Mus musculus: one gene and its partners. The protein of the gene in region 5 purifies or fractionates together with the protein of the main gene of each other region. This does not show direct contact. Links are inferred from orthologs where the notes say so. Each region holds a gene or a part of one and is shown on either strand. Other genes may lie near its edges.

Region 1 (4,130 bases), on a different chromosome or scaffold from region 5:
GTGCTTCTTCCAGAGCTCAGGTGATGTGACCTGAACCAGAACAGGCTATGAGCAGCTAAGCTGGTATCCCTGTCACTTAAGAAGGTCTGCGGTCAGAATAACCCTGTATGTTCTGCTTAGGAGTAGGTGTGAGCCAGCTGGTAGAGTGGGGGTGGGGCACACGCCTCTGATCCTACTACTTGAGGCTGAGGCAGGAGATTTAAAAGTTGAGGGCAAGGGGGCTGGCAAGATGGCCCAGTGGTTAAGAGCCCCAACTGCTCTTCCAAAGGTCCCGAGTTCAAATCCCAGCAACCACATGGTGGCTCACAACCATCTGTAATGAAATCTGATGCCCTCTTCTGGAGTATCTGAAGACAGCTACAGTGTACTTACATATAATTAATTAATTAATCTTTAAAAAAAAGTTGAGGGCAAGAATGGACAACTTGAAATTAGAGATACTGTACAAAAAAGACAAGCCCTCAGCTTCAATCCCAGCATTGCATAAAAGAACAGTATAGTGTTTGACTGGTTTGTCTCCCAGCAGAATGCTGGGCCTGGGTAGGCCAGGGTGCCACAGGGTCTAGCCTATAAGTGTCTACTAGCCTGGGGTAACTGCAGGCCAGGGTAAGGGGGGCTGCACTTGTTTGGTCTTGACTGTCCTTGTCTCACCCACCAGTACCTGAAGAAGCTCCACACACAGGAGCGGGCAGTAGAGGAGGTGAAGTTGGCCATCAAGCCATACTACCAGAAGAAAGACATCACCAAGGAGGAGTACAAGGACATCCTGAGGAAGGCTGTCCACAAGGTGGGGCCAAGGGGACTGACTGGGGACCTGGGTCCAGGAGAGGGGGATAGTGTAGGCTGGCCAAGATTGAGTCAGGGTTGAGGTGCCCTGGGGCTGCAGGGACTCAGTTGTTCCTGGTTCTGCAGATCTGCCACAGCAAGAGCGGGGAGATCAACCCTGTCAAGGTGAGCAATCTGGTGAGGGCCTACGTCCAGCGCTACCGCTACTTCCGCAAGCACGGTCGCAAGCCGGGGGACCCCCCAGGACCTCCTCGGCCACCCAAGGAACCAGGGCCCCCAGACAAGGGTGGCCCAGGCCTGCCCCTGCCCCCTCTCTGAGATCCTTACCCTGTCCCTGTGCCTCTGAGATTCTGGACATATTTATGGCTCCACTTCCCCACTACGCCCCCCCCCCCCCAGTGGGATGATGGGGAAGGTTGCTGTGAGGAAGAGGAGAGCCCCCCACCCAGCCGTGTTCCTGCCCGTTGACCTAGCCCTTCAGCCTGCCCCCGACAGCCCCAGCCCTTCTGTCATGCCCCCTCCAATTTCATTAAAGATTTCATGAAGTACAGACAGGCGTAGTGGTGTACCCTTGAAGTAAATGGATCTCTGTCAGTTCAAAGACCGCTAGCTCTACAGAGATCCTGTCTCCAAAAAAAAAAAAAAAAAATCATGAAATGCTTTTTTTCAGGAGGAAAGAGTTGGGGTGTGTGAGTGGGGAACCATGATGGTGTCACACCAGACTTAGGAATGTGGGGATATGGGGGTAACAGGAGGCAGGGTCCAGCCTTGAGCATCACCCGAGTGGCCTCTGGTATCAGTAGCACTGTGGGGCTGCAGTGACTCAGTCCGTGGTGGTGAGTCAGCCCGCCCGCCCCACAGCAAGCTTGCCGGTTGCCAACCATCACCACCTGTGACAGTGTCCCTTGCTCCACGTAGGGACAATGTGTGTGCAGCTCTGGACCTGTCTTGTCCTTGCTTTCTTTGTGATACTTTCTCCACGACCTTGGCAGCCATGCTGTGTTTTGTCCCTGTGCCTCCCTCCTGGAGCACCTAGACCTCAGCTGCAGATGGGAAGACTGAGCCTTGTAGAATAACCACCAGCCTAGACGCAGTCGACAGCAGATGTGATGGCGGCATAAACTGCTTTATTGGTAGCAGCTGAGTGGGGCTCAGATATTTCCAGTGGCCTGGAAGTCCATGTCCTCCACCAAGTCCTGGAGGTAGGCCTTGTACTGGTCAGAGGTAAGGGAGATAGGCTGGCTGTTGGAGATGTGCAAGTCCACGGTTTTCAGTGAAGAGGCTCCCCCTTCCCGGGCCATCTCTAACAGCTCCTTAAGACATGTAGGAACAACCTGAAGGAGGCAGGACAGATCTCTAGTCAGCTAGGGGCTGCCAGCATAACCCAGGGTGGACCCTCACTCAGCCTAGGGCTGTTAGGAACTCTGACCGCCCCACCTAATTAATGGAAGCCCCTGGGAGCCACATTCTTCAAAGGCTGCAAAGACCTGCAGCTACCAGCTACAGGGTCTAGAGTCACAATAAGCTCAGGATACTGAATAAGTCCTGTGGAGGACACGCAGAGGCTTCTGGGAAGGGTAACAGTGGCTGCAGAGGCCTGTTGGGTAAGCTATTTCTCAGAGGGGCTTCTGAGGGTCCTAGTCCCGGGGTGCTGCAGGTTCCTCCACAAGTGGACCCTCCCATCCCCAGTAGCATGAGACAGCTGGCACCTTGACCATCACAAGCCTCTTGACCCATGGCTGGTCCTGGGGCCACATTTCCCCCATGCAGAACCACAGAGTGTAGCGTGGGGAGTGTCCACTTCCTTCCATGAAGGCAATCAGATCTGGGAACCCAAGAGTTAGGTCAGAAAAGAAAGGATGGCTTCTACCCTGTCTACCAGCTCAACTTGTATCTTCCCTGACACTGCTATACACTGCCTATCTGGAAAAGTCCCTACAGACACAAACAAGTGCTCCCCACTCCTTCCTTCCTGCAGCAGCGGCAGTGAGGAGGACGGTGGGCTCGCAGCTCAGGAGGCTGTTGGGATGTTTCCTCAGCTGCTTGGGGCCCAATGCCGCTCTCTGACTGACACTCGATGCCAGCCCTTGAGGGTGTGGCAGGAGGCATGAGAGTTCAAGGCTAGCAGAAGCAGTAAGAGCAAGACCCTGCCTCAGAAAACTAAAGTTTCAAATATAAATGCAACTTCAAACTGGCTACCTTGCTGACACATGGCATCCCAACCATAGGGGACGTAATCTTGGGGCACTATCCACTGAGGCAAGCTCCCAGCCTCAGCAGTGTTTCTGTATACACCATGAGATGTGGACACACCAGAGTGTCTTATATGGCCTGTACTACATTAGCTTCAACAGTCTAAGCAGCCAGCCCCTGGACTTGGAGGCACAGGCCTAGCTTTTTGCCACAAAACTTAGTAGCAGACTCTGAATTCAATCAGCCACCATGGCCTGTCAGTTCCATAGGGTGCTCACTCACCTGCCACGAAGGGCCTGAGGTCGAACACGGCTCCGTCCTTGTCCTTGTGGACCTCTCCATCAGGCCCTCGCCCACTGTCTGGAAGCAGCTCCTCCCCCAGAGCCCAGAAGGCGTGGGAGTGGCCTAGGCGCTGGGCCCAGAGGCACTGCCCAGCCTGCCACAGTGCCAGCCCATTGCCCAGCCCTTTGAGCACCTGCCCCACGTACTCCTTCACAAGCTTGTCCGTCAGAAACCCCTCAGGATCGGGCAGGGTGACTGGCTGCCAGGGCAGTGTCATGTCAGCTGTGCTGCCCACCAGCCGCAGGCCCCCCGGGCAAAAGAGTGTCTGCTGGAAGACCTGGCGGCCTCGGTAGAAGGCGGTCACCTCGAACTCCCATTCTGAGCCACCGGTGGAGTGAGAGGGGAGAAATGGAGAGGAGCAGGGTAAGGAGCGCTGTCCCTGCCGCAGCCCTTCCCACGCCACAGCTGGCACTCACGTTCCTCAGCTAGCAGCTGCTTCAGTGGATTTTCTTGGGGTGCAGGGTTTAGGAAGTTGTTCACATTGGGGCTTGGCAGTTGTTGAGAAGGATCAGAAACAATAGCCAGATCTGAGGACCCCTCATCTTTGAGGGGCCCCAAGATCAGGCCATCAAATAACTTCGGTAGGTTTTCCTGGGGGAGGAGGAGGGTGTTAGCTGGTCAACAGCTTCAGCTGAGTCAGGAGGGCAGCCAACCGGTGGAGGAATGGAGGTCCCGGGAGAAGGGCTGGGGGGTGGGGGGCGGGGGGGAAGGCTGAGGCACGGGACGACTGCCTCTCACCTGGGAGTGAGGCAGGCTGCTTTTGCCATTGGTGTCAGGAGAGGCACCCAGATGTACGAAGTCCCGCGCCC
Region 2 (4,929 bases), on a different chromosome or scaffold from region 5:
TCCTTTATGCTGGAGGTTCAGTCATTGCAGTCTCAACTCTGCCTCTCCTGGATGCCAGGGGCGTAAGCCCTTTTCTACATCTGCCTCCTCTAAACAGACCTTTTCTGTTTCTTTGCTACACATTTTTAAGGTGAAGGTTCATCTTAGGGTGACTCACTTTACTCTTGCAATTTTAACTTTATTTTCCTTCTCTCTTTCCAGTTCTGACTTCCTGCTCTAAATCCTCGGTCCTAAGGGCTAGTCTAGGTCTTCTCTTTTTTTTATTATTTTTTTAAATTAACTTTGAATTCCTTCCTGCTCCTATTAACTCTACCTCCTGTGTGCTGGGATTAGATCACAGGCCACAAGGCCTGGTTTATACAACACTAGAGATAAAACCTAGGGCCACATGCATTCTTCCAACTGGGCTACGTCCCCAGTTCTACATGGCTTTTTTTTTTTTTTTTTTGCTTTTTTGAGACAGGGTTTCTCTGTATAGCCCTGGCTGTCCTGGAACTCACTTTGTAGACCAGACTGGCCTTGAACTCAGAAATCCGCCTGCCTCTGCCTCCCAAGTGCTGGGATTAAAGGCGTGCGCCACCAAGCCTGGCTTCTACATGGCTTTTTACAAATAAGTTTCTTTTTAATTTTTTAAAAAATTTATGTCTATGCTATTTTGCCTCTCTATATGTCTGCACCATGTGCATGGCTAGTGTTCAGGAGGAATGCAAGGAAATACTCTACAGCCTTTTTTGTTTGCTTGTTCTTTGAGACAGGGTTTCTCTGTGTAGGGCCCGTTATCTCAATCCATAGAGCAGGCTGGCCTTGTCACAGGAATCCATCTGCCTTGGCCTCTCAAGTTCTGGGATTAAAGGTATATGCTCCAGCATGCCCAACTCTTTACAGATGAGGGGATACGTGCATGCTATGGTATGTATATGTGGAGGTCAGAAGACAACCTGCAGGAGTTTCTTCTCTCTCATTCCACCATGTGGGTCCTGGGGATCAAACTCTAGTTGTCAGGCAAGAACTTTAACCTGCTGAGCCACCTTGCCACCCGACTAATTTTTCAGAATAGTTTGAAATGTTGTCATAATTGAAAAAGACAAAGCACTAATCTGAGGTCCCTTCCAGCTCAGGGGTAAATTGCTGAACAAGCTCTCCAACACTAAGTCAAACCCCACATCTTTCACTTCTCTGCCTGACACTGGAACCTGTAAGGTTGTTTGACCATGTGTGAAATGGGAAGGCCACAGTTTCCGCTTTAGAGTGAAATTAGGAGACAGTAGACAACAAGGAAAAGCATCCACTTCCTGGTTCCAGGACAACTGAATGTAAATGGCTTCCTAGCCCCTGTGGCTGGGCCTGATGGTTAAGAATCCAGTACTTAGGGTGAGACATGGGATGTACCTGGGGTCCTGGTCGAAGATGAACTGTGTTCCTTGACCATGGTGCACATCCCAGTCCACGATGAGAACCCTGTGAGCAGGAGAGAGGGGAGCTCTGTGCAGGGGGCTAAGTGAAACACAGAGGAACAACCTAGACCACAGCACCCCCTATTCCATGCTACCCACGTTCCGTCTGTCACTGGCTACCAACCTCTGAATGCGGTGCTTCTTTTGCGCATAGCGGGCAGCCACAGCCAGATGGTTGAACATGCAATACCCATCCATAAGATTGTGCTGAGCATGGTGTCCAGGAGGCCTAAGCAGGAAAGGGAAAGCTACAGGTTTGGGAGTCTTCCTCTCCAGAGGTGGACTCTCCTGTGTTCCCAATTCTTCCTAGAGAGATTCTATAAGTCTGCCAGCAACTGAGTAACTGTGGCTTTTGAAGCTTCACTGCCCCCAAGCCAACACTCTCTCAACCAAGGAGATTTAAACATAACCATCCAAAGGTACCCTCACCCATATTTGCTATTGTGGCACATGCCCGCAATACTAACACTCAGAAAGAATTTGAAGCAGGAGGATCGATAGTTCAAGGCCTGCCTAGAATGTATAGCAAGCTCCAGTCTCAAAAAATAAAAATCAATTAAGCTATCCATAAGAGTATGAAAGCATACTCTTTAATACCCAGTCATTTTGCTACATAGGCTTAGCTGAGACCTATATAATAAAAAGTGCTATCTTTAGAAATGTACCACTGGTGTATGCTATCAAAGCCTGAAGAGAACCAAAATTCCCACCAGCAAGGGGGTGACTAGCTTAAAAGTATGCTTGCACAATGGCATCTCACACGAGTGTAACCCATATACTGTTAAGAGACAGCTTTCAAAGATAAAGATGTCCAAGGGTTTTTTTTTTTTTAAATGCACGGTACGGAAAGGAGTGCTGTCATGTGCTTACAAAAAGGGGCTGAGGAGGACAAAGGCTATCTTCTGCATTTTTATCAGTTCTAGGAAGTCAGCTGTGGCCCAATGTTCTGACCTTCCATGGGCAACAATGAAACAGTGAAAGGCACAGGCTGAGGCTTGAGATGTCACGCACTGTTCGCTGCATCTGAATTTCAAGATGTTCCAGATAGAAAAGAAATACATGTCCCTGAAGCCATGAACTGGGATACTTATTACTTACTAACTGAGTAAAACCATCTGTGGAAGGACACGGAAGTTACTGGTGACAATGAGCACCTTTCAGGGGTCCATCAACAAAGAGGAGAGAGAATTTTATTGAACCCCCTTTTTGTACCACTTGACTCTTCAACCACTTGAAGACAGGGTACCTGAGTTAACACATTTCACATTTGTAGGGCTTTTTTTTTTTTTTTGAGAAGGTGTCTTAGATAGCCCAGGCTCGCCTCAAATTTATATAGCTGAGGCTAGCCCTGAACCCCCCGAGCATTCCTTTAACATCCATCTCATAAGTACTGGTATTACAGACATGCACCTCCACGCACCACTATGTGGAAATGCTTTTTAAAAAAATGTAAGATGCCCAACGCTTCAGAGTCCTACCTGATGACGGCCATGCCATTCCGAATCTCAGCCCCCATGAGTGCATCTACCAGCCGGAGGACAGAGCCTGTAGCCAGGCAGGCACAGGAATATGAGTTCTGGGGACCGTGGAAAACCAGAGAGAAAGAGTTAGAGAGAGAGAGAAAGCATGGCCCTAACTATTTAGCTCTTCATTCCCACAGTGAGGTTGGCATGGATACGGTAGACACCCAAGACTTGCTGCCACACCCTGACCCCACAGTTCTCATCCATACCGGATGCAGATACACTGAATCATAGGTTTCTGCCAGTACTCGAAGCTCCCCTTCATTCATGTACTGGGTTGTCTCCATCAGATCAATGTATTCCAGGCTGGGGACACAAGATAGAGGAAAGATTTTACAGCCCTGGTCCCTCCGCAGACAGACCTCGCATTAAGTCGGGCCTCCATAGTCAACCTAGGGGGTTCAGCTGGGGTGCAGGCTGTAGTCCCTTTTTCTTCTCTAGCCTCTCCCATCTCTAGTTATATATTTAGTTCCTCGAGACAGCCATTAACTTGAAATTCTAGGCCTCTGACTAGATAGTTAAGAGTTCTGTTGATTCTCCCTTTCCTCTGCCCTTCTCTTTGCTGGACTCACCCACCTTTTTGCCTCTTGGAACTCAGCTCAGATATTCTCTCTGCGAGGCTAGTTATTCTGTGAGCCACATTGTACCAGGCCTCTTCCTTTGAGTTTCTAGACTCCCCCAGGACTCATTCTGATCATTCTGGCAAGTATCTGCCATCAGTTAACGAACCAGATTATAATAACACGAGCCCTTCACAGGCTTAAGATGCTGTCAGGTACCTGATACACACACTGACCCTCCTGAAGGACTTAAGATTTCTTTTTCTTTCGGGATTGGCTTTTTCAGACAGGGTCTCATAAACCCAAGTTAAACCTGCTATGTCGCTGAGGCTGTCTTGATTTCCTGATTCGCTTGTCTTCATGTCCCAAGTGATGACATGTACCATCATACTTGTCTGGAACTTAGGGGTTTGTGTTTTTTTTTTGTTTTTGTTTTTTGTTTTTTGTTTAAAGCAATAACATATTCAGAGAGGCTCAGGGACGTGCCCAAGGCTGGCCACAGAGTCTATGGGATTCCTTCAGTCTGTCCTGGTTGAGCCTGGGTATCCTCCTCCCCACCCTACCAAGCTCCTAAGTTTTCACCTGTGAACCAACATCAGCTCCTCCTTCTCAGCGAACCGGGCCTGGGGAGGCACAAGGAAAAAAAAGGGGGGCTAGAAGCCAGGCCAGGCCTAGGTCCTCGCAGGCCCGCACCCACCATCCGAAGGCTGTGGAGGAGTCACCTGAAAGGACACACAGCGGCCCAGGAGGCCCTCCAGGATCAGTTGCTCTCTGATGGCATGGAGCCGCTCAGGGCTTTCAGGGAAGCTGCAGGAGTGGATGGAATCACGCATACACACAGATAGGCAAAAGTGCTAGGGAGCATGTCTGCTCTTGTCCCATCTCCGCCCCTCACCCCCATAGCTGCTCACCCCTTACCGGCAACATCAGCCTTTCTTTGTCATTTCTGAAGTCTTTATACTTGTTTTCTCCGCTACCATTCACGCTGTTGGAACCTCCAGTCTGAGCTGTCTGCTCCATCATCTTTATGAGAACCCCTCTCTGCTTCTATACTTATTCCCCCAACAGCCCCTCCTGTATACTGAGCCAGCCAGTGGTTAGAATTCTACTACTCAAAACCCTTTTGTAGCTCCGACTATGTTCCCGGTAGAAGCCAAACTTCTCATCACACCGAGAAGGGCCTAAGAAAACCCGAATCTGTTCCCATCCCTATTCTGACTCTGTCTTTCTTACCACACCCCTCCTCTTTCACCTTGTTTCCCTGCAATGTGTTCCTTGCTCTTCAACGAAACCACATTGTCTTCAGCTAGGCCTGAGGACTTCAACGGTCTCTCACGCCTGGAAGTCTTTTCAGTGATGACTCACGGCTCAGTCCTTTAGCCTCCTCCAACC
Region 3 (4,929 bases), on a different chromosome or scaffold from region 5:
AACATTTTAACTTAATTATAATTTGTGAGTTGTCTAGTATGCACTACCTGCCCCAGGTAGAAATATTTCCTTCTCCTCACTCTCTGAAGATGTTTGTCTTTCCTTAGGTTTTTCTCATGTGCTTGTACTACAACCTCAGCTCTCTGGGTGGAATCTAAAAAAAAATGTGATTTTTGCAATTACCTAACATTATTTATTGGAAGAACAGTCTATTCTGGGAAAAAGCACAGCAATTAATCATTCAATAGCAAATGGTCATCCCTGAAAATATACATACAAGCAACATTGTACAGATTGAGCAGGTTGTATTTATATATATATGTAGATATGCATATATGCTTATAGCAACAATTCATGAAAAAGAAGGCCATGTATTTGAAAGAAAGCAAGGAATGGTACATGGGAGGATTTAGGGGGAAGAAAGGAAAGAGGGAAATAGTATCATTGTATTATGATATCAAAAATGGAATAAGTAATAAAAATAGAACAGTCACAAACTTTTTTCTAACTTTCTGAATCATGAGTAAAATCATATTTATTTATTTATCAACAATCTTTCTTTTTAAAAACATAATTCTTTTATTGAGTGCTAGGGAATTTCACATCACATACCCCAATATCACTGATTTCTTAGTACTATCATACCCACCCTCCTCCACCTGTAACCTCCTCCCCAAAAGGAAATTTAAAATTTTTAAATTAAAAAATTATATATCACCAATCTTCTCTATCACCCACAGGCGTCTCTCCGACAAGGCCCTGCTGTCACATCTGCAATCCCGCCATACTTATACCCTCAGTGTCTATGTAGAGAAGAATGATATCTCAAACCTTAGACAAAGCAACAATTTTATTAGATATTTTCTTCATTTACATTTCAAATGCTATCCCGAAAGTCCCCTATAACACCCCCCACACACACTCCCCAACCCACCCACATCCACTCCTGCTGCCTGGCCCTGGCATTCCCCTGTACTGGGGCATATGATCTTTGCAAGACCAAGGGCCTCTCCTCCCATTGATGACCGGCCAGGCCATCTTCTGCTACATATGCAACTGGAGACACAGTTCTGGGGGGTACTGGTTAGTTCATGTTGTTGTTCCTCCTATAGCGTTGCAGACCACTTGCTGCTTGGGTACTTTCTCTAGCTCCTTTATTAGGGGCCCTGTGTTCCATCCAATAGATGACTGTGAGCATCTGCTTCTGTACTTGTCAGTCACTGGCAGAGCCTCACAAGAGAGAGCTATATCAGGATCCTGTCAGCAAAATCTTGCTGGCATATGCAATAGTGTCTGGGTTTGGTGGTTGTATATAGGATGGATCCCCAGGTTGGGCAGTCTTAATAACTTAATTAATAATAAGTTTACATATATTTTTCAGATGTTTTTTGAGTATTTGTCCTTTTCTAAGTAATACAATATGATGATGAGGTTGTAAAATGCTATCCTCAGGTAGTTCAGTCTAGTTCAAGGAGCAGCATCAGGATTCTTCAGGAAAAGGTTTTTCAAATGAGGTGACTTCACTCCACACTTTTCATGTCAGTTTTTGGCTTTGCAGCCTTAATAACCTGGGTAGGAAAGGAAGATGAAGACTGAAATATTGTTGATTAATTAATTCTCCTCTACTTTCACTTACTGTGTTCTCCTGAAAATTCCTTTCTTCTCATCAAATCTCCTCACCTAACACATATTTCCTCTTAATTCTGTCACTCTTGGACAACTCTCCTGAACTATATCTGCCCTGAACACACACACACTCCTACACAAGAAGGACAAATATGAAGACTTCTCAGGTCCCCATCTAATAACTCTATATATACAGTTGAGTGGTGAGGAAGAGAGGAAAGCAGAATCAGTGGGATCATCAGCACGGGGATGTGATAGCTGACTTAACTGCTTTGGACTATGACAGATGTGAAGATGATTGCCCTGGCTCAGATGTTTGTTGTCAGGGTGTTATAGTCTGACTTGACTTTTAACTGCATTTGCCAGAATGATGTGTGCAACTTTGAGAAAGCTGCCTTCATTAGATTTAGACTGTATTCAATAAATTCATTGTGGAAAGTTCTTTGAGAGGAGGAGGAGGAGGAGAAGGAAGAAGAAGAAGAAGAAGAAGAAGAAGAAGAAGAAGAAGAAGAAGAAGAAGAAGAAGAAGAAGAAGAAGAAGAAGAAGAAGAAGAAGAAGAAGAAGAAGAAGAAGAAAAGAAGGAGAGTGAGATTTTGTGTGTGCATGTGTGTATGTGTTTGTGTGTGTGTGTGTGTATGTGTGTGTGTGTATGTGTATGTGTGTGTACATGCACACGCATATGTGTGTTTTCCTTGGGAAATCCACAGCTTTGAATTGTGTATCTGGGTTATGTATTTTTGAATGACAGGCTTCTCAGGTCTGTGAGATGCAAAGGCATACATATTAAGCTCTTCTCTGCCATCCTGTTCATTGGATTTCCAATAGAAAACACAAAACAACATCCTCTTCTGAGAATTTCCATACCTTAAAAAAGCTACAAGGTCCAGATTTCAACTGAATTTTCACTCCATTTTTTGACACCTCAAAGAACGTGAGTCTAATCTTGTCTCCTTCCTCGCACTTTGTTTTGCTTGGGTTTCCCAGCACCAACACCTCCATTGTCCCTGTTTTATCATGTATACCATACAGTACTCTATCTTTTTCCTCTGTTATCTGTGAAAGGAAAATATGAGTCAAGTCCTGCTAGATGACTAAGAAAGAGCAGCATATCAATCAGTTATCAGACAAGCTAGGAGCAGCTTTCCAAAATAATATAATAAATAATTCCAAACTTCTACCCAACAGATTCTAGCAAATCTCAGTGGAAGGGGTAGGAGGATTATATTAAAAGCATGTTGCCTCTTGTGTCCATCTTCCTAGTCCCAAGGTTTTTTTCTTTTGGGAGGCCAGAATAACTCACAGAAACAACGGGTAGACAGGGAAGGTGGGGCTTCTCCAGGGCCAGCATGCAGGGGGCAGTCATGGGAAAGGAGCACCTCCTGGTTAGGAGGAGAGTCACTTAAGGAAACAAGTAACAGAAACCCATGAACCAAAAATAAAAGACCTAGTGAAGAAATTTAAAAGTAAAAAGTCAACCATGAATGAAATATCATTCACAGTCAAGTCCAGATTAGAAGGAGACCAGATTCTAGTCAGGGATGTAAAATATCAATATTTCAATGTTAGTTTTATTCACTAAATGAGAAAACATTAGTGGGTAATTGATCAAACGGAAGGCTCAGAACTGAGAGGGGATGAGTGTTTTTTATGCTTTAATTTTCCAAGGAAGACATTTCCCTCCTGCCTCCTTTCTGAAAAGACGAGAGAGGCCATCCTGGCTACAAGTTCAGAAATCAACACGTTTCCTGTGGTTCTTCAGGGTCGCTCTTAGGCCAGAAAACTGTTCGTACAAGACTAATATATATTTTTTTTTAACCTGATTTCTGGTTTGAATGAAAATGGTCCCCACAGGATCACAGGGAGTGGCAGTATGCAAAAGGATTAAGATATGTGGCCTCTTGTTGAAGTAGGAGTGGCTTTGTTGGAGGAAATGTCATTGGGGGTGGGCCTTGATGTTTTAGAAGCTCAAGTCAGGCTCTCTCTCTCTCTCTCTCTCCCTCTCCTCTGTCTCTCTCTCTCTCTCTCTGTCTTCAAACCATACCTGTACATCAGTCCTCTGCAGAGTGCTCAACCCAACAGTGACTTTGAATATGGCTAGTATCTAAGTGCATAAAAGCAACACAGAGGTGAAGATGCCTGTGTCTATGCTTCAGAAGCTACAAGGCGGAAAAAAAAAAAGAAATTTCAAAATCAGAGTTTCAAAATCAAACCTTCCTTCGCTGTGTGTGGTGACATGCACTTGGATCCCAGCACTCAAGAGGTAGGGGCAGCGAATATCAGTGCATGCCACATAAGACAAAGCCACACAGTAAGACCCTGTCTCAAACAGCAAAACAATCAAAAATACAAAATAAAACTTGGTGAGCTTTGTCTTGGTAAATTATCATCCTACAAATCCTGAACTCTGTAAAATTCTTTTTTAATTGTTAAAATGATTTAAAATCAATTTTTAAATTTATTTTAATTGTTTCAGATTTAATAGAGTAAAAAACATTGAAATGTATTTTCTAAAGTCCCATTAAGGCTTAGAATAGGTGTTATATTTTATATTATTCTTACTGATCAATATAAAATTGCGTATAGGAACTTACCTTCTGGACTTTAAACAGCCCATTCACAATTGTTCCACATGGCTGAATCTTCAGTTTACTAATCCTGGGAGTTTCCCTGGCTCTCTTAACAACGTTATTTGGGACTTCGTGGTTAGATTCAACATCAACCACAACTGAGGAACTGGTGACCTCCATGAAGTTACTGTGCCAAAGGTAGTTTGATATTTTAATTGTCCTCTTTGGGATAAATTTATCTTTAAACTGTGCGTTTAAAACTTTTACAAAGAAAAAATCTGTCTCCGTGGCCACTGTTGCATGAAATATCTCTTGTCTTCCTTCCTGAGTCTCACACTCAAAGGGATTTATAGCTTTCAGCACCGTGACAACAAGTGGATCTTTCTGTAAATCTTCTCTGATGGCTTCCTGTTCTGCCACCATCTGTTTCTTCTGAGGCTGTGACAAGAGAGAAAAGATGTTAGCTAGGGTCCACACTTACCCAAGCAGCCTTCATTCACAGTAAAACCCCAGGAAGAAAGAAGCTGAATTGAAGGGAAAATGGAGATAACGTTAGGAAGAGATTGGAGACCTAAAATTATCTAAGGGATATTTTGTGTTCTATGTTCAGACGGGGCAGTTTTACTGACTCTGGAGACAAAATTCCTGAATCAGAATCCTTCTTTGCTATGAAAAGTGTGTGTCAGAATCCTGAAACACTGCAAGGGGCTGAATCTGACTCTGTCTTCTTGTAAT
Region 4 (4,929 bases), on a different chromosome or scaffold from region 5:
GTAACGTGCACTCAGGTAGCAAGAACCAAAAGCAAACTAAAGAAGACACTTATCTCCCTCCTTATCGCTGTCCAGGTTCCTTAAGCTGCTAGACCAGCTCTCCCATGGGCAGCATGGGCCACGGGGAAAACTCCTCCTTTTACAGCCCCCAAAGGGGGAAGAAAAAGCGAAGCCAGAGAGTTCTGTGAGTGACAGCAACTGACTTACCAGTAGGGGCACATATTATTGTATTTTTCCCTTTCTTGGCAGGCAGGGCAAGCTCCAGTTGGTAATTTCTTGGTTTCAATGGGCTGTGTAAATTATTAGAAGACGCTTCTGTAATATAGAGGGGACAAAGTTATCGAAGGGTTCATGCTACAAGGAATCATGGTGCAACTGCCATTCAGTGGACATGAGTTCTGACTCTAGCAACAATGCCCCTGTTTGAGGTTTGGGATCTTGGCCAAAGTGTGTTCTCTCTCTCTCTCTCTCTCTCTCTCTCTCTCTCTCTCTCTCTCTCTCTCTCTCTGTTACTTCTTCCTTCCTTCTTTTCTCTTTGAAGATTTATTTATTATTTAATGTATATGAATATACACATTGTCGCTGTCCTCTGACACACCAGAAGAGTACACCAGAGCCCATTACAGATGGGGTAAAAACATTAACCCAGACGCTGGAGTCACTATGTGGTTGCTAGGAATTGAACTCGGGATCTCTGAAAGAACAGTCGGTGCTCTTAAACGCTGAACCATCTATCTCTCCAGCCCCATGAATTCTTTCTTAATCGTGGAAACTTTATCAAGAAAAAGGACAGCAAGAATGGCCTAATTCAAAACAAAGCCACTTGGAACAAAGTAAGAACAGATCATCAAAAACAGCCGAGGAAAACCAGCTGTCAGCCCAGATTCTCAAAGCCATTGCTTAGTGAGCAGAAGTGTTCTTTAGAGAGCAAGGCTGCTTTGAGAAGTCATGGACACTGAAGTTCTGGGAACACGGTACAGATGAAGGCATACATACTGGAGGGAGGGGGAGGGGAGGGGAGAGGAGGGGGAGGGTTGAAGGCCATGCAGAGGCCATGGAAGACAGGAGCAGGGATTCTAATTATGAAGTCCCTATTGCCCCACAAATTCTTTCTTTTCTTAATCATCCTTTAAAAAGACTTTTTTTCAAAGGGCATCAAAGTGCTGGGGGACACCATCATGGATGAGAGCAAACGATGCTTGGTACCTGAAGGAGGCCCGGGATTCTGACTGAGATTCTGACACTCTGGCTCTTCCTGAATGAAAATCTGGATGCTGGACGCCTCCGCTCCATCATCCTCATCAGCCTTGCTTTCAGCCCTTTTGAAACCTTTGTGATAAACAGGCAAGCAAACAATCATAAACACAAATAACAGCTTACAGCTTAGAATCTTTTTTTTTTTTTTTTGGAAGGGGGTGGTGGTCGAGGCAGGGTTTCTCTGTATAGCCCTGGCTGTCCTGGAACTCACTCTGTAGACCAGGCTGGCCTCGAACTCAGAAATCCACCTGCCTCTGCCTCCTGAGTGCTGGGATTAAAAGCATGCGCAATGTGATTATGGTTTTGGTTGGGGAAGTCCCAAAAAGTCCTAACACTAACACTAAACATCTAAATTTCCGTTGAGCTCTTACAATCACGGTCTTGCACTTTCTTAACATTTTATTTATTTTTGAAATGGATTTGTTTACTGTGTGTGTCACACACGACACAGTGAGTGTGCCGAGGGATGAGGACACTGTTTGGGGATTGGTTCTATCATGTAGGCCCTGGACGTTGAATTTGGGTCTTCAGGATCAGTGGCAGGAACCTTATCCACTGAGCCATCTAGAGAGCCCCACTTTGACGGCTTAAAACAACTGCAAGGATTATTCTGAGTTTGAAGCTCAACTTGGCAATTGAATTCCAGTTTCATCTGGAACTACGCGACTCCAAGTGTGGAACCCGGGGCTCTCAGCAGTTTGCATCCGGAGCCCCTCCCCACTCCGGAACTCACGCCAATAACGCAGGGGCGTCATTCCTGAGCACACTAAAGAGACAGGATTCCATCTCTGACCAACGATGTAGAGAGTTTCTGGAATAATTTATGTTCTAAGGAAATCTAGGTGAGAAAGGAAACTAGAAACTCAGGTATTTATCAAGGTCTGTTTAAAGCAAGAAGTGAGTTTCCGGAAGCCAAATGAGGTTGGCTTAAACACAGAAAATCTTCGTTTACTCTTGCTCTGTCGGAGTCCAGATGGCTTCCGGGCAAGAGCACCAGTCCATAGCTATCACCCCCAACACTCAGCCTCTGCTCTGATAGGGAGGTAAGTCTTGCAGTTTGAACCTTTAGGTCTAGAATTCTCAAGCTATTTCTCTGATAACAAATTGGGGCTGGAAGCCTTCCCTAGATTCTTTGACCTGGTCGGGTTAATTCCATGCCATGTAGTTCCCTTCCTCCCAGAATTCAGCTTTCCACTGCTTGTATCCTAGGGATATAGCCTTTGGTATCTGAAGTGAACAGCGCCTCTGATGGAAAGTAAAGTGGGGAGAACTGGGAGGAGCGCAGCAGGGTCCAGGGTTCTTTCTTGGAGCACCCCACCTTTATCAACAATCCACAATTCACTAAACTTGCTGTTGTCTTTCTCCAAAGCAAGTTGCAAGACCTTTGGCCAGTTTTCCTTGTCGGATCTGATAAGACATTCGGCCATCTTCTCCGCACCTGCCATTCTCCCTTTAGTGTCTCGGATCTGGGGGAGACAAATGCAGCACACTGATCAGGCAGCTCAGCCTTTCCTCTGGCAAGCTTTTGTGGAAGCGGTATCTGATTGAAATCACTGTGAAGTATAGTTGAGTAGGGCTTAGTTAGCATCATCTTTTTGCCCTGTCCAGCACTAGCTTTTAAGATATTCCTTTCTTCACCTTTGTCCTTTATAATGTGTTATCAATATGCCAAGGCAAATGTTCTCATCTTCTGAATCCTTATATCCCTGACCAAGAGCAATCCTGGGGTAAAAGCGTTAACCCAGACGCTAACCATTCACCCTAAGGATGTATCGGCACACAGAGCCATTTGGAAATGCCTAACAGCACAGCAGCAGGTCTCTTTTCTAAGCAGATGTTCTATGACTTTTCTTTCTAATGATAACTGAAATGCATTGTGCATAGACTGCTATGCATCAAGCTGACATACACATTTTGTGCATGACCTCTCATTTAGCCCTAAAAGAGTGCTAATAAGGTACATTTTCGTCGGGCGTGGTGGTGCATGCCTTTAATCCCAGTACTCGGGAGGCAGAGGCAGGCGGATTTCTGAGTTCAAGGCCAGCCTGGTCTACAGAGTGAGTTCCAGGACAGCCAGGGCTACACAGAGAAACCCTATCTCGAAAAAACAAAACAAACAAACAACAACAACGACAAAAAAACCAAACAAACAAAAAAACAAAAACAAAAACAAAAACAAAAACAAAAGGGGGCTGGAGAGATGGCTCAGGGGTTGAGAGCACCGACTGTTCTTCCGAAGGTCCTGAGTTCAAATCCCAGCAACCACATAGTGGCTCACAACCATCCGTAACAAGATCTGACGCCCTCTTCTGGAGTGTCTGAAGACAGCTACAGTGTACTCACATATAATAAAATAAAATAAAGAAATCTAAAAAAACAAAAAAACAAAAAACAAAAGATAAATTTTCTTACTTTAGACATGAAAAACAAACAAACAAACAACAACAACAACAACAACAAAAACCCCACAGATGCTTAGAGAACTGCCTGGCATCACATCACTAGTTAAGTGACTGCGAGACTGTAATAAATGTATCTATGCCCAAGAGCCTGACATATTTTTCCTTTTAATTGTTGCACTGTTTGGTGTGATTTGCATTATGCATAAACCACTATTTTTTTTAAAGTAAGGGGGCAACTTTAACTGCAAATAGGTTAAATAATTTTCTAATAGTCTAGCACAAAAATTACCCCATTCACTTTAAAAATTCTATTCTAGTCATTATATCTGCTAGATGAGAGCTTTTATGGGTTTCAATTATCCTTGGGCCTAAAACAAGACAGAAAAATGGGCATTTCCAATGTCTCTGCATTTTTCTTCAAATTTAGTACCTGGCATTGGTTTACCTGTCTGATTTCTTCACATTCCTGATTAATCAAACATTCGGATAGTTCAGAAAGGATATCATTTGGATCAACTGTGGCCTTAAATTCTGGTTCTAAACGTCTTAAAAGTAATCTGTGTTCCTCTAACTTTTCAATTTTTTGAAAGTCCCAACTTTCGATGGCTTCACAAAGTCCACAGTAACCTGAAAAAGAAAAGAGAAATGGGGATTTCTTAAGCAAATCCAACATAAAAATGCTTTGAAGTCAAAATCATGGGAATCCTGTTCAAATCAGTGGCAAGGGAACTGAAAACCATCTGCAAATGGCCTCAGTCACTGGACAGTCTGGGGAGCCAGACCATGAGGCTGACAGGTTGCAGGCTTGGACACCAGCTGGTGACAGTCTTTAGAGGTGACCACACCCTGCGGGACCTGGTGACCACATCCTTCGAGTCCTGGCGTCACCACTGGCAGCACATTGAGTTCATACAGAAGGAGCAACTGAGAACTGTACCCTCTCTGGGAGAAGTGAGTCACTGGAGATGTGCTTTGAAGAATGCATCTTGTCCAGGGCCCCTGCCCGGCACCCTTTGCCACCTGTCTACCAGAAAGTGCGGCTTTTCCCACATGCTCCCGCCATGGTGCCCTGCCTCACCACGCACGGGTGCAGAAGCTACAGATCCTCTTGGCTCTCATTTTTCTGCTTTTTATTTCCTCGGGCATTTACTCACAGTAGTTAAAGTCAACTAATACAGCTATTCATGATTTTCCAAAATGGGAGTAATACTCATTTTTGGTACCCAACAGTTTAGGTCTCCTAAAATTCATTATCTTTCAGGGTCAAGTC
Region 5 (5,599 bases):
TGGGCCCATCTCCCAGCCAGGCCAGCCAAAGTGTCCATGTTTCAGCTTCCGAAGCCAGCGGCTATGAGAGAAGCTCTGGGTAGGAGGAAGCAAGACAGGAGGAGAGTGAGGGGTCAGGGTTTCCAGCTCCCACCACCCTGTATGCCCCCCACGCCCCAGGACGGCAGAGCCCCGGCTCACATCAGAGAGGTGGCCAAAGGGGTTGGGAAAGATGAGCTTGCTGTGTTCCCTGTGCAGGCCCTTCCCCTCGCACACGCTGCACAGGTCGTAGTCTGGGCACACACTGCACTTATAGCGAGTTCCCACCACAGGCCCGTTGCAACCATCACAGATCACATTGGGGTGCACCATGTTTCGGGGTGCCTCCTGAGCACATGGTGGGCGATGTTCCCGCCGGCACTCCTTCTTCTCTGCAGGGAGAGTCAAAGAGTCCATCCAGAACTTAGTTGCTAAGGACAACCGCTTAGGAGGCCAGGACCTCTGTGCCTCTGACAACTCCCAGCCCCGCTACACCCACCCCAAGGCATCACAACTCCGACTCCTGACCCTTCGAGGAAAGCCCCACAGGAAGGAAGCCCCGGATTCAGCCTTTACCTTTAATGTAGATGCGGAAGATGTCATCTTTCACATAGGACATAGCCATTGTCAGCTCCTCATCACTGGAAAAGGCAACCAAGTCCCCATCCTCATCTAGATTGTTCAAGAAATGACACATCAGAGCCAGGGACACAGCTCGGCGGGAGCATGCAAAGGCCTTAGGTTCCATTCCCAGAACTAGAGGCTAAAATGCAGCAGAGGCACCCAGCATCTGCTGCAGTGTACAGAGCCCAGTGGTAAAGGGACATCTACTAAGGCTCTACACTCAACCTGGCTGCTGAGCCAAGCAGCAAGATGGCCGTTCATTCCGATACGGCATGAATATGTACTCCAACCTAGGTCCTAGATTAGTTACATGCAGAAGGCAGAACATATGTCATGTGTATATGTGTATAAGGGTCCAGCTTCCTGCCACTAACCACTGGGCCACCTGTGCCCTCAGGCCACGCCTAACCAGGTGTGGGTCCATCACCTGGGAGATCCCACCCTAGTCCTGATGGCCCAGCCCTTCAAAGGCCTCAGGCTTCAGAAGTAAAGGACGTAAGTCCATCTGTCCCCTCCCTTCAACTAGACAGCTAGAAACCACTACATTCAGGCTCCATCTAAGTTGTTCTTGGGTTTTTTGGTGTTTTTTTGTTTTGTTTTTTGAGACAGGGTTTCTCTGTATAGCCCTGGCTGTCCTGGAACTCACTTTGTAGACCAGGCTGGCCTCGAACTCAGAAATCTGCCTGCCTCTGCCTCCCAAGTGCTGGGATTAAAGGCGTGCAGCCACCATGCCTGGCATCTAAGTTGTTCTGAGGTTGTTGTTTGTTCTGTTTTTGTCAATTCTATGTTTTCTGCTTTCAGGGGCAGGATCTTAGTATGTAGCCCTACCTGGCCTGACACTACTTAGAGCAGGACAGCCTACAACCTGTGGATGAGCCGCCTTCGTGCTGGGATTACAAACATGCAACCAGGCTTCCAGGTTTTGTTTTGTTTTTTTAATATTGTATGTACACATCACACACACACACACTTAAGTGTATGTGTGTGCCACAAAGGCCAGAAGAGGTGTTGGGTCTCCAGGACCTGCAGCTGTGATGAGTGCTAGGGACAGAACTTGGGTCCTCTAGAAGAGCAGCCAAGGCTTTAACCATTGAGCGATTTCTCAAACCCATCTGGCTTCATTTTGTTAGCTCACAATAACTGGGATCACAGCCATATGCTTCTATGTCAGTACAAATAGTCTGTATAAAACCTGATACAGTACAAAAACCTTATACAGGCCAAAACCACACACCTGCAGGCTGGACTGAGCCTCTGAGCAACCATTTAGCAACAGCTACCATAAGGGAGATGAGAGAGATTGCCTCAAAAGAAACAGTGTCCATAAACTACAGACCAGATAAATTAAACATGACATATTCAAAGAAGACTATTCTTCATACACAAAAAGAAATTAAATACTGCCCATGTACAGAAATAGAGCCCTTGACTAGCATATGCAAAGCCCTAGGTTCAATTCCCAGTACTGGAGGGGGGAAGATGTACTAGTGAGAGCTGTAATACAAATGGGCCTTAGACATATTAATAAGTGAATGAACAAAGATTCACTGTGCCAGCCTGGTCTACAGACCAGCCAAAGCTACCTAGAGAAACCCTGTCTTGAAAAAGCAACCAAAAAAAAAAAAAAAAGCCATTTTAATGTGTTCTAATTCCTAATAGTAAAATGAATACTAAAGTAGACCAGCCATTGCCTGGAACTGGAAAGGATACAAGATGACAAACAGGAAAAAAATTATATAATAAAATAATAATTATTACAATAATTGTTATATAATTTTTATGTAATATATAAATAAAATTTATAAAACAATGAAGAGATTCTAAGCCGAATGTGAAAATAGTTATACAACTCATTTTTTTTTTTTAAATGCAAGGAGCTGGGGAGGTAGCTCAGTTGCTCGAGGGCCTAACATGCATGAAGCCCTGGACTGGATGCCTAGCACAAAGATGACTCAGAAGGACAATTTAGAGATACAGGCCATCCCGGCCATATAGTAAGACCTGTCTCTGCTAATACGAAAGAATAATCGTTATACACTTTTACTGGGTGAATTGCACAGGTCCTAGGTTATAACGCAGTTACACTGAAAATTTTCTGTCCAGTAGTCCCTGTGATTCCTGCACTAGAAAATTGAGACAAGAGGATTGGAGTGATTGAGGACGGCCTAAACCACTCGTGAATTCCAGGCCAATCAGGCTACGTGGCTTTATTTCAGAAAAGAGAGAGACTGACCAACCAACCTGGCCTACCCACAGTCCTCCATAGAGATCGCAAAACCATTCCCTCCCACAGGGAGGGTCTTGTCCACTCGTCTCTTGTCAACAACCTCTAGCTCCACCCCATGCAGCCACCAGCCACTCCAACGCAAGAGACTGAGCTAGTTCCGGGGTCCCCTACCTCCCTTCCCACGGGCTGCCCCACCCCGCCCCCGCTGCTTATTTATCCGCGTCACTCCTCTCCACCCCTCCTCCACGTCTGCCTGGTCCCAGGTCTTCCGGGGCTTTAACTGAACCCACCACCGGGCGTTACGGGGAGCAAGCGAACCGCTGGATGTTAGATGTAACCTGAGCGGCCGCCTGACCACCCTGTCCCCGCGGGGAGCCAGAGGACACGCCGCCTCGTCCTCGCCCAGACCTACTACTCCCTGGCGGGGGAGGTTGGCTTCCCCGCCCCAGGCCCTCACCGCGGTAGTGCGCCTGGAAGCCGCCAGGCCTCAGCGTGGGGAACAGCACAGCCACTCGGCTCAGCAGCCTCTCGCAGGGCCCCGGGCCGGCCGCGGCTTGGGCTTCCGCCTCCGGCTCCGGGCTGAAGCAGAAGCTGAAGCGGCGGATCTCGCGGGTCGCCTCCTCCTTGCCCAGAAGATAGGCCTTCACCGTGAACGACGCCATAACCGCGGTCTAGGTACGGACGAAACAGCTGGGCAGCGGCGGCGCCGAGAGCCCAGCTTTTATAGAAAACGGGGGAGCCCCGCCTCGTGGGGGCGGAGCCTCTATGAGCCCCGCCCCTCCCCTAGGCTGGGGCGGCCGCTGGAGCCCCCTTGATGGGACCCTTGAAAGGTACGGGGTCGAGACGACCCCACTGCCTACTCTTTTCTTTCCCACCGAATACATGGGTGACCACAAGAGACCAGCCTCAGCCTCAAGTCGTTGGGAAAAGGACCCGTAAGTATCGAGCCTAGGTACCTCCCAGGCTTGGGCCTGCCTATGACTCAGCAGTGTCGTCCCCAAGCCAGGGGGGATGTACGGCCCAGAAGCTAGGAGGACACAGATGTCTACTGTCAGGTAGCCATTCTTTTAGCCAAACAGGCTGTCTCACAGGATGCTATTCCGACCCTCCTAAACATAGTGTCCCCGGTAGTAGCCCCCACTCCCACCCCCTTCCAGGCATCCACCATGACCAGCCCCTCACTGAATAAAGGAACATCACCCACCATCTTAGGCCTCACCCAATTTAACAAAGATCAGGTTGAGAGGTGTTGGACAAGCACTGGTGACTTCTCACAAACCCACCCTGTAAGAGGGGTAGCCAGGGCTCCAGAGGCAGCAGTAGTCACAACCTGTTCATTGCAACCAGAGATTCCTCACTGCAGCCCAGACACACACACACATACACACACATTCATATTCTCTCTCTCTCTCTCTCTCTCTCTCTCTCTCTCTTTCTCTCTCTCTCTCTCTCGGAAGGTACATGTATCTCAGGCCTTAGTGGCTTCAAAGCACAAAGGGATCAGACCACCTGCCCTCCATCTAGGAACCAAAATACAAGCTATAGCCAGTCCTGTGCCACAGGTTGGTTATTCCAGCTGTTTGAGGTGCTGAGGCAGGAAAAGACCAAGTTCAAGATATTCTGCTTGAGCAACTTGGTGAAACTGTTTCAAAATAGAAAGTGATCCTAGTACTTGGGAGGTCAGAGGTTCCAGAGTTCAAAGCCAGCCTTGGCTGCATGAGGCTTCTAAGAAAGAAAAAAAGTCTGGGTGCTGGGGGGCGGGAATAAAGAATCTGGCTATACAGTTTAGTAAGGATACAGGAGATTTAGCTTAGTAGGGATACAGCTTATAGAGATTTAGCTTAGTAGGGATACAGGTCATGAGGATTTAGCTTAGTAGGGATATACCCGGGAGATATCATTAATGGGAATTTGGTGCATAGGGATATAGCTCAGTGACAGAGCACCTGCCTAGTATGTGTTACATCTTAGGTTCAACCCCCAATACAAACGCCAAAACCAGGAAATGCTGCTTTCTGTGGCCAGAGTGACCTGTTAGCTAGCATGATGACACACATCTGTAACCCCAGCCCTTGGGAAGCTGAGTCAAGAGGAATTCTAATTCAAGGCTCGGCCAGGCTTGCATAGCAAGTCCTACTCTCAAAAAAAAAACAAATTAAGCAGGGCAGTGGTGGCACATGCCTTTAACCCCAGAACTTGGGAGGCAGAGGCAGGTGGATTTCTGAGTTCAAGGCCAGCCTGGTCTACAGAGTGAGTTCCAGGACAGCCAGGGCTACACAGAGCAACCCTGTCTCAGGGAAAAATAAAAACAAACCACAAATTAAATGAATAAAGTAAAATGAGCTCTTAGCAGGAACCCAGTCCTGGGAAGGCTAGAGGCTGAGAAGGGTGTCACCCTGTAAGGCCTTCTAGGTATGGTCCTTTCCATAGGACTAGACCTGCTGAGTCAAAGTCATGGGAGAAGACATGCAGGGCAGAATTGGAGCTCAAGTCGTCTCCCTGAGGCAGGGTCTCCACACCAGCTTCCTAGGGCCCCTCTCCCAGTTATCATGTCTTCCCTGGACCTCTCTCAGAATTGGTTTTGTGAGAGCAGAAAAATCTGTAATTTTAGGAAAACTCAGCAATGGACAGTGATTTGCCACACAGGTGTGACTGCCATTTCCCTGGTGGCTAGAAGGTACACACCTATTGCCCCAGAGGACAATCCCAGTTTTAGGCTTTCCTCTCCAA

Evidence for each region. The genes of interacting proteins can lie anywhere in the genome.
Region 1: the proteins of Sqstm1 (region 5) and Irf3 purify together in Homo sapiens (affinity purification with western blotting; 4 studies listed by BioGRID). This does not show direct contact. The link is inferred for Mus musculus from reciprocal best matches to the Homo sapiens genes SQSTM1 and IRF3.
Region 2: the proteins of Sqstm1 (region 5) and Hdac6 purify together in Homo sapiens (affinity purification with western blotting; 6 studies listed by BioGRID). This does not show direct contact. The link is inferred for Mus musculus from reciprocal best matches to the Homo sapiens genes SQSTM1 and HDAC6.
Region 3: the proteins of Sqstm1 (region 5) and Aim2 purify together in Homo sapiens (affinity purification with western blotting; 3 studies listed by BioGRID and IntAct, with this or other methods). This does not show direct contact. The link is inferred for Mus musculus from reciprocal best matches to the Homo sapiens genes SQSTM1 and AIM2.
Region 4: the proteins of Sqstm1 (region 5) and Ddx58 purify together in Homo sapiens (affinity purification with western blotting; 5 studies listed by BioGRID). This does not show direct contact. The link is inferred for Mus musculus from reciprocal best matches to the Homo sapiens genes SQSTM1 and RIGI.

What each region holds. Positions count from the first base shown.
Region 1 is NC_000073.6:45,000,154-45,004,283, reverse strand, and holds the end of Irf3 (interferon regulatory factor 3), read right to left. Parts: coding exon 4,060-4,130; intron 3,913-4,059; coding exon 3,738-3,912; intron 3,640-3,737; coding exon 3,262-3,639; intron 2,612-3,261; coding exon 2,496-2,611; intron 2,121-2,495; coding exon 1,938-2,120; 3' UTR 1,436-1,937; downstream 1-1,435. Other genes in the region: Scaf1 (splicing factor, arginine/serine-rich 19), read left to right, coding at 659-787, 913-1,104.
Region 2 is NC_000086.7:7,940,455-7,945,383, forward strand, and holds part of Hdac6 (histone deacetylase 6), read right to left. Parts: intron 4,345-4,929; coding exon 4,260-4,344; intron 4,161-4,259; coding exon 4,120-4,160; coding exon of another isoform or gene 4,116-4,119; intron 3,284-4,115; coding exon 3,187-3,283; intron 3,031-3,186; coding exon 2,933-3,030; intron 1,684-2,932; coding exon 1,579-1,683; intron 1,459-1,578; coding exon 1,390-1,458; intron 1-1,389.
Region 3 is NC_000067.6:173,461,610-173,466,538, reverse strand, and holds the end of Aim2 (interferon-inducible protein AIM2), read right to left. Parts: intron 4,633-4,929; coding exon 4,219-4,632; intron 3,784-4,218; coding exon of another isoform or gene 3,676-3,783; exon of another isoform or gene 2,687-3,675; intron 2,681-2,686; coding exon 2,492-2,680; intron 1,569-2,491; coding exon 1,521-1,568; 3' UTR 499-1,520; downstream 1-498. UniProt on the Homo sapiens protein: Sensor component of the AIM2 inflammasome, which mediates inflammasome activation in response to the presence of double-stranded DNA (dsDNA) in the cytosol, leading to subsequent pyroptosis.
Region 4 is NC_000070.6:40,225,391-40,230,319, forward strand, and holds part of Ddx58 (antiviral innate immune response receptor RIG-I), read right to left. Parts: intron 4,287-4,929; coding exon 4,105-4,286; intron 2,724-4,104; coding exon 2,576-2,723; intron 1,330-2,575; coding exon 1,207-1,329; intron 316-1,206; coding exon 208-315; intron 1-207.
Region 5 is NC_000077.6:50,207,227-50,212,825, forward strand, and holds the start of Sqstm1 (sequestosome-1), read right to left. Parts: upstream 3,595-5,599; 5' UTR 3,532-3,594; coding exon 3,327-3,531; intron 691-3,326; coding exon 595-690; intron 411-594; coding exon 181-410; intron 76-180; coding exon 1-75. UniProt on the Homo sapiens protein: Molecular adapter required for selective macroautophagy (aggrephagy) by acting as a bridge between polyubiquitinated proteins and autophagosomes.